Linked DNA regions of Callithrix jacchus. The protein of the gene in region 2 interacts with the protein of the main gene of each other region in a pairwise test. Links are inferred from orthologs where the notes say so. Each region holds a gene or a part of one and is shown on either strand. Other genes may lie near its edges.

What was found. The genes of interacting proteins can lie anywhere in the genome.
Region 1: the proteins of GRAMD1C (region 2) and CD151 interact in binary tests that used the Homo sapiens proteins (3 or more experiments, as listed by UniProt). The link is inferred for Callithrix jacchus from reciprocal best matches to the Homo sapiens genes GRAMD1C and CD151.

What each region holds. Positions count from the first base shown.
Region 1 is NC_133511.1:131,070,682-131,074,705, forward strand, and holds the start of CD151 (CD151 antigen), read right to left. Parts: upstream 2,801-4,024; 5' UTR 2,744-2,800; intron 859-2,743; exon of another isoform or gene 742-858; intron 629-741; exon of another isoform or gene 569-628; 5' UTR 562-568; coding exon 481-561; intron 392-480; coding exon 200-391; intron 1-199. UniProt on the Homo sapiens protein: Structural component of specialized membrane microdomains known as tetraspanin-enriched microdomains (TERMs), which act as platforms for receptor clustering and signaling.
Region 2 is NC_133516.1:88,836,829-88,840,996, forward strand, and holds the start of GRAMD1C (protein Aster-C), read right to left. Parts: upstream 2,801-4,168; 5' UTR 2,702-2,800; coding exon 2,675-2,701; intron 1-2,674. UniProt on the Homo sapiens protein: Cholesterol transporter that mediates non-vesicular transport of cholesterol from the plasma membrane (PM) to the endoplasmic reticulum (ER).

The DNA.
Region 1 (4,024 bases), on a different chromosome or scaffold from region 2:
GGCTCCCTGAGGCTTGCTTTCGGAGCTGGTGGCTTCCCTCAGGTGATCTAGCAGGAATATGGGGACCCATAGGACTCGGCAGGTGGGGAAGGACCGTGCCCCACCCCAACCTGGGCCAGGTGAGCACAGCAAGGCACAGGTTCAAAGCCCCCTTGGGCCCCATCCGCACTCCCCGACCCATGGCCTCCGCCCTGCTGACCAGGCGCAGCAGGTTCCGCCTCTCCTTGAAGGTGGCACAGCAGCCCAGGACCCCAGTCACCATGACGACAGCACCCGCCACCACCAGGATGTAGGCTGTGGCCAGATACGTGCCGGAGGCCAGCAGGCTGATGTAGTCACTCTTGAGGGCCAGCGTCCAGATTCCCACTGCCATGACGGCCAGGCCGGCCAGCTACAAGCCAGTAGGTGCTGGTCACCGAGTCTGCCTGGGTCTGAGGGTGGCGCAGGACGGGGGACGGACACGGGGCAACGCCTCCTCACCCAAAAGCAGCAGTTGTAGGTAAACAGCAGGTACTTGAGGCAAACGGTGCCACATGTTGCCTTTTCGTTGAACTCTCCCATCCTGGGGCTGGGGAGGCACAGGAGGGGTCAGCAGGGCCACAACACCAGACCCGTGACAGGAGGACAGCTAGAAAGAGGGGACACAGATGCCCAAGCCAGCCCAGGACTGGGGTGGAGCCAGCCGCTCTCCTGGGAGGCCTGCGAAGGAGCCCCCACGGGAACAGGACGTGAGCCACTTACCTAGCGACTCATGAGCCTCACGCAGTACAGCCAGGATAGAGCCCTGGTGACCCCAGACAGGACGGGGGTCATGTAGGGCCTCCAACCATCACTGCTGACTCACCCCAGCAGACAGCCGGGGGAGGAGGCCCTAGCAGGTCCCTCCAGTGAGCTCAGGCCGGTCTGCCCGCCCCCCATAGCATTCCCAGGGGCCCACGTCACAGGCTGGTAGTCTACAGGCCTGCAGTGAGGGTGGAGGAGGCCACTCAGAGAAAGCGGAGGGGTGGGGTGCAGACAGCAGCTGAGCGCCCCGGGCGGCGTTTCCAGACAGCACAGCCAAGCCTGGACTTTAACTGCCCCGCCTGCTCTGCCCCACCCTGCCCAGCACTCCACAGCCAGCTGGGAACGACTCCTCGGTAGGACAGGTGGACAGAAGCTCCCCAGGAGTCTAGGCTAGAGGGACAAGGGCACGTCAGGTCACAGGTTGCAGGTCTGGCCCAAGGGCCAGAGTGCGCGAGGTTCATTCTGGAGGCAGAATAGGACTGGCCAAGCCTGGTATTTTGGTCTGGGCTAGGGTGGGGCAAGGCAGAGGACATTTCTTTGTTTTTCTTTTTTACTTTTTTTTTTTTTTGGTGGGGGAAGGGGAGGAAATGGAGTCCCGCTCTGTCACCAAGCTAGAGTGCAGTGGTGCGATCTCGGCTCACCGCAACCTCCTCCTGGTTCAAGCCATTCTCCTGCCTCAGCCTCTCGAGTAGCTGGGATTACAGGCACCTGCCACCACACCTGGCTAATTTTTGTATTTTCAGTAGAGACGGGGTTTCATCCTGTTGGCCAATCTGGTCTTGATCCCTTGACCTCGTGATCCGCCCACGTCAGCCTCCCAAAGTGCTAAGATTACAGGTGTGAACCACCACCTCGCCCAGTGATTTTGTTTTTTTCTGCTCTGATCACCCAGACTGGAGTGAAATGCCTGGATCTCAGCTCACTGCAGCCTTCACCTCCTGGGTTCAAGCAGTTCTCCTGCCTCAGCCTACTGAGTCGCTGGGATTACAGGCGCCTGCCACCTCTGCCAGCTACTTTTCGTATTTTTAGTAGAGACAGCGTTTGGCCACGTTGGCCAGGCTGGTCTCGAACTCAGGTCACCCACCCGCCTTGGCCTCCCAAGGCAGAGGACATTTCTGGCCTTACCTCCAGACCCATCGCTGGCCTTCCCCACCCCGGCAAACAGCAGCAGCCACAGCCTGGGAAAGAGGCACCATGGAGCTGGGGGGGGTCCAGACCTGACCACTGAGCTGAGAGTCACCCTCCGTGACGGAGCTGGGGCCTAATACACGAGGAGTGGCAGGAGCAGACCCTGCCACTGAGCCGGGGGGACCTGCCCCTGGCCTGGCTGTGAGGTCCCAAGCCTTCTGGGGAGGCTGGTTCTGGGCACAGATGCAGCCTCCACCGCCAGGACGCAGGCGACCCGCTGAGGAGTGGCCGCTCTTCCCAGGAATGCCTGGTCCCCGCGAACCGCCTGGGACAAGGCCGGCCAGAAATAGCTCTCCGGCCCTCCCCCAGTCCCCGGGAACTGCACCAGGCCCCCGGGCGGCCCGCGCCCCATCAGGGAGAGCCCCCACAGGGGGGACCCCGGACTCCGCGCCAGCCAGGCGTCCCCGGCACTGCAATGAGGTCACCGACCCCGCCCGGCGCGGCCAATGGCGCGCCCACTTGCACGCGGGCGGAGGGAAGGGGGCCGTGTCCAGAGACAATGAGCGGGGCGTCCAGGCTGGGCGTCCCGGGGCCGCTGGGACGAAGGGGGTCGTCAGGCCCGTCCGGGGCCCCGGGAGGCGACTCTCCCACCCGCCCGCCGCCGCCTCCGCGGAAGGGCCTGCGAGGAAGCTGGGCAGGCGGTGGGCGCGGCCTCCCGGGCTCCCCGGGCGCCTGCGGCGGGGCCTCGGGTACTGGGGCGCGCAGGACCTTCGGCCCCCACGGCCGCCTCGGCCCCCTCGCCCCGCTCGGCCGGCGCCGCGCACTCACTTACCCACCACGCGTCGGAGTTCGGGCCTGGGCGGCGGCGGCGGCGGCGGCGGCTGCGGGGCGGCTCCCAGCGCGGAGAATGCGCAGCCCGGGGCCTGCGAGGAGACGCCCCGCCCCGGCCCCGCCCAGGCCGCAGGCCCCGCCCCTTCCCATCCCCGGCCCCGCCCCAGGCCTCAGGCCCCGCCCCTTCCCCGTCCCCGGTCCCGCCCCAGGCCTCAGTCCCCGCCCCTTCCCATCCCCGGCCCCGCCCCAGCCCGCAGGCCCCGCCCGCGGTGGCAGAAGCCCGGCAAGTCTGAACCCGCGTGGCGAGCGGCAGCCGGTGGGTGCAGGCGCTGGGGGTCGACCCCGCACTGCGGGGGCCGGGCGAGCTGCAGCCCTGAGGGCGCCAACAGCCCATCAAGGGTCCACCCTAGCCAGGGACGGAGGAGGTGAGCGGGAGGCGGGCCCGGAGTTATGGCGGCGACCAGTGCAGCCAGAGGCCCCACGCTGTGGCGGCCGGGCCCAACCCCATCTCTTTCTCCGCACCCTGGAACCGCCCAGAGGCTTCAGGGGTCGGCAGAACGGTTGCCGGCCTGGGGTAGGGGAGGGCCTGGCGCTGTGGGCAGATGCAGGAGAGACACTAGGCTGCGGAGACCCGGGCAGGCCTGGGGTCGCAGCCAGAGATACTGGCAGGGGCCACTGGGAGTGGTGCGAGCAGGTGAGGGAGGAAGGGCAGGACCGGCCTAGGGCGGCACCAGGAAGCCAAGAGTGGGAGTGAGGAAGGAGGTGGCTCCCCCCCTCCGCCCCCCGAACTCATTCATCACTGACACAGATGAGGACTGGGCAAGACAATGGGGAGCCCTGACCCACACACTGTGCAGGGCCCTGTGGGGCTCCAGCCTTGATGAGTAGTATGCGTTGGGGGGTATGACCAGGGACACAAGAGGACACACAAGGACCTCAGCCCTGGTGCCGCAGGCCCACGTGGTCACCCACACGGCACGCGTGCACAGTGGCCACCCATGCAACGGGCACACACAGGCTGCGGCTCCCAGACGCAGGAAGGCCAGGAGGATGCAGTGCAGGCAGTGGGTTTATTTGATCGGGGGTTTTCTGCTGAACTGAGATGGGGTTGACTGAATGGGGACAGAATGAAGACTGGCAGAGGGCACACGGGACCCTGACCACTGGAGGCCCCTGACCACTCCAGGCTAGTTCTTCATGTCTTCGGTCAGGCAGGCCTGGGGCCCCCTGGGGAGAGCCCGCATCCTGAGCAGGCATCCCCCCACCCATGACAAGTCTCCTG
Region 2 (4,168 bases):
TTGAGCTCGTGATCCACCCGCCTTGGCCTCCCAAAGTGCTGGGATTATAGGCGTGAGCCACCACTGTTTAGTGTTTCTTTCAACACCTCCTCAGCCACAGTTGGTCTTCACCTCCAGAGAAACCTAATATCCCTTTACCTGGCTACCCACAGAGTACCTCAACAGTCTTGCCATCATACCCAATCTCTACAGGAAAGATCTTAACTGCATCCAATTTTCTCCAGGACCACAGGTTTAACATTCCACTGATGACACCCTCCTCTAAGGACAGTCTTTTGACATACAAAGGAGCTCACGAAAGGGGTTGGGCCATTGTGATACACATAGTGTAAGGCCTACCACCTTGGTCAACTTTCTGAAAATAATTTGATCTCTGTCACCCAGGCTGGAGTGCAATGGCACCAACAGGGGTCACTGAGGTCTCAAGCTGCTGTGCTCAAATGATCTTCCTATCTCAGCCTCCTGAATAGCTAGGACTACAGGCACCACACAACCATGCCGGGTTAACTTTTTTTTGGTAGATACGGGGTCTTGCTATGTTGCCCAGGCTGGCCTCAAATTCCTGTCCTCAAGCGATACTTCCTTCTGCCGTGGTGTCCAAAGGTGCTGGAATTACAGGCATGAGCCACTGAACTGGGCCACAATGGCTTACTTAAATTCAAATTCAATTAAATGAAAAATGGTGCATGTCAGTCATCAATCAAACATCAAGGATGAATTATCACAAATCTCAGTCTATTTCATTTGCCTCACCCCTCCCTCTTCCTCTTCCGGACCTCATCTGGGCAAGCTGATAAGAAAGCCTGCGGCTGTGCTCAGTGGCTCACACCTGTAATCCCAGCACTTTGGGAGGCTGACGGGGGTGGATCACAAGGTTATGAGATTGAGACCATCCTGGCCAACTTGATGAAACCTAATCTTTATTAAAAATACAAAAAAGGCCGGGTGCGGTGGCTCACGCCTGTAATCCCAGCACTTTGGGAGGCCGAGGCGGGTGGATCACGAAGTCAAGAGATCGAGACCATCCTGGTCAACATGGCGAAACCCCGTCTCTACTAAAAACACAAAAAATTAGCTGGGCATGGTGGCGTGTGCCTGTAATCCCAGCTACTCAGGAGGCTGAGGCAGGAGAATTGCCTGAACCCAGGAGGCGGAGGTTGCGGTGAGCCGAGATCATGCCATTGCACTCCAGCCTGGGTGACAAGAGCGAAACTCCGTCTCAAAAAAAAACAAAAACAAAAACAAAAAAAATTAGCAAGGTGTGGTGGCATGCACCAACTACTTGGAAGGCTGAGGCAGGAGAATAGCTTAAAACCCAGGAGGCGGAGGTTGCGGTGAGCCGAGGTCGCACCACTGCACTCCAGCCTGGGGGAAAGAACAAGACTCCGTCTCAAAAAAAAAAAAAAGAAAAAAAAAAGAAAAAAAAGAAAGCCTGGAAGTTCCTTCCTTCATCTTGGGTGGGAAATTCAAGCAATCTCCTGTCTGCATACAGGAACTCTCACCCTGGCCCCACTCCCTAACCCAGAAAAAAAGACCTGGAGCCAGTCTTTTCCTGAGGCTCTTTTAAGCCTTTTTGGTGCTGCTTGAGAGACCTGCCTTGCTCTCCCCAGAGACCTCAAGTATGTAAGTAAAAGGCTTTTTCATACCCTCATGGTGTGTGTGTGTGGCATCATCAGTTTCTACACCTGAACAAATTTAGTGTGGGGGTTCATTCCGGCTTTCTGGGGTGGCAACAATAGATTCCTGTCTCTCTAACTTATCAGCTGTGTGGTCCTTAGCAAAGTCAATCTCTGTACATCTGTTTCCTTAACTCTACAACAGAGGAAATAATTATCTCTAGTCTAGACAATAAGCTTATTGAGAGCAGGGATCAGGCCTGTGTTAATTACCATTTAATCCCGGACACCCAGTGCCAGAGACATAGTTGAATCAGTGACTGATTGGGTTCATGAATATCCAAGCTTGACTATTTCATAGTAATGTTTTTCAAATCAAGTGAAATAACACACTCATTTGTTCATTCAACAATTATTTGTGTACCTCCACCAATCTGTAAATGATAGTGCTCTTCAGAAGATATAGCACTGACCACATTTTCTCTAAAAGTAAAATATATACGCACAAACCAATGTGGAAGGAGGACGGCGTTCAGAAATGCAGGCGCACCTCCAACAAAAGCGGAGCTTCACCCTGAATATTAACCAGCAAGTTTTCCATTTTGTCAAATAAGGTAGTAAACAAATAACAAAACTAGACTAGTTGAAACCAAAAACCTGGCTGACAGCACAGTGATTTAAACTATCACTGTGTAATAGGGCCGAGAATGAAAGGAAGGAGGCGAGGCTGCAGAAACTAACACTGAGTCAGAATCACCACCATGGAGCCTGACCCAAGGGGGCCTGAGGCTGAGACATCCGCATCAGCACATTTCTGGCCAAAGTCAAGCCCTCAGCGCCCACAGGGAAGCAGACGTTCCCACCACCGCCCGGAGGGAAAGGGCTCCCGTAAGCACAGGAAACCGTTCCCTCGGTAACAACTTTCCCTGTTACTCCAAAGAGCTCGAAGAGCAGGGAAGGGAGGGATTAACTGTAATCTGAGAAGGTCCAAGCAATCACCGTGAGAAAAAGTCGGGTCAAGCCTCGGGTGGGAACCGCCCCCAGCGAGGCCCGCTTACCTGGCGTACAGCCCGAGCGCCCTCCATCGCGGCTCCCTCGGCCACCGCGGCACCGCCCCGCGCCCACCTCCAGCGCGCTCTGCGAGCTCCGGGCTCCTCGCGCCTCCTCCGCCGGCCCTCCCGAGTACTTCCAGCCGCAGCTCCTTGCGCCCTCCCGCGGCCGTGAAGGACTGACTCCTGACGATGGGTGTTACTGGATTAGTTCGGAGGCTTGTCTTTCTAAGGGTCACAATGAATCTTAACCTATTCTCAGCCTCAAACTTCTGTGCCTACCAGGAAATGACGTTACCTGCCCCAATGTGCGAAAAAGTGAAATGCTTGGGAATTTTTTTTTTTTTTTTTTTTTTTTGAGACAGAGTTTCGCTCTTGTTGCCGAGGTTGGAGTGCAATGGCGTGATCTTCACTCACGGCAACCTCCGCTTCCCGAGTTAAAGCGATTCTCCGGCCTCATTCTCCCGAGTAGCTTGGATTACAGTCATGCACCACCACGCCCGGATAACTTTTTATTTTTGGTAGAGACGTGGGGTTTCTCCATGTTGGTCAGGCTAGTCTCAAACTTCGGACCTCAGGAGATCCGCCTGCCTTGGCCTCCCAAAGTGCTAGGATCACAGGTGTGAGCCACCGCTCCTGGCGGGAAGCTCTTGTTCCTTCCAATAAAAGACTGAAGTTACTGATAAAACGCTGTTATGTATTGTACATCCTTGGTTTTGTAAACCAAGAATAAAATGCTAAGGCCCAAAGCCATCTGTATGGGCCCCTACTCTTGGCCAAGAGCATTCCAGATTCAACCTTAATATCTAGTTCAGGCCATGATGAAAGAGGGGATTGGACATGCCTCATTAACATCAACACAGACCTTAAGTATGATAAGAAATATTTATCATCTATTCCCTCGGAAGCCTGCTACTTGGAGGCTCCATCTGCATGATAAAACCTCAGTCTCTACTACCCCTTATCATAACTCAGACTTTCCTTTCTACTGATAACTCTTTTTTTTTTTTTTTCTTTGAGACAGGATCTGGTCCTGAGAGCCCGGCTGGAGTGCAGTGGCACAATCTCAACTCCCTGCAACCTCGGCCTCCCAGGCCCAACCAAACCTCCCACCTCAGCCTCTCAAGCAGCTGGGACTACAGGCACATGTCACCATGCCTAACTAGTTGTTTGTTTGTTTGTTGAGACGGGTTTTGCCATGTTGCCCAGGCTGGTCTCAGACTCCTAGACTCAAGCAGTCCGCCTGCTTTGGCTTCCCAAAGTGCTGGGATTATACGTTGTGAGCCACAACACCCAGCCAATAATAATTCTTTCAATCAATTGCCAATCAGAAAAATTTAAATGTACCAATGACCTGAAAGTTCCCGCTTCTCCCTGTTGGAGTTGTCTCCCCTTCCAGACTGAAACAATCATGTAAATCTTGCATGTATTGATGATGTATCATCTCCCCAAAATATATAAAAGCAAGCTGTGCCCCAACCACCTTGTTCACATGTCAGGACT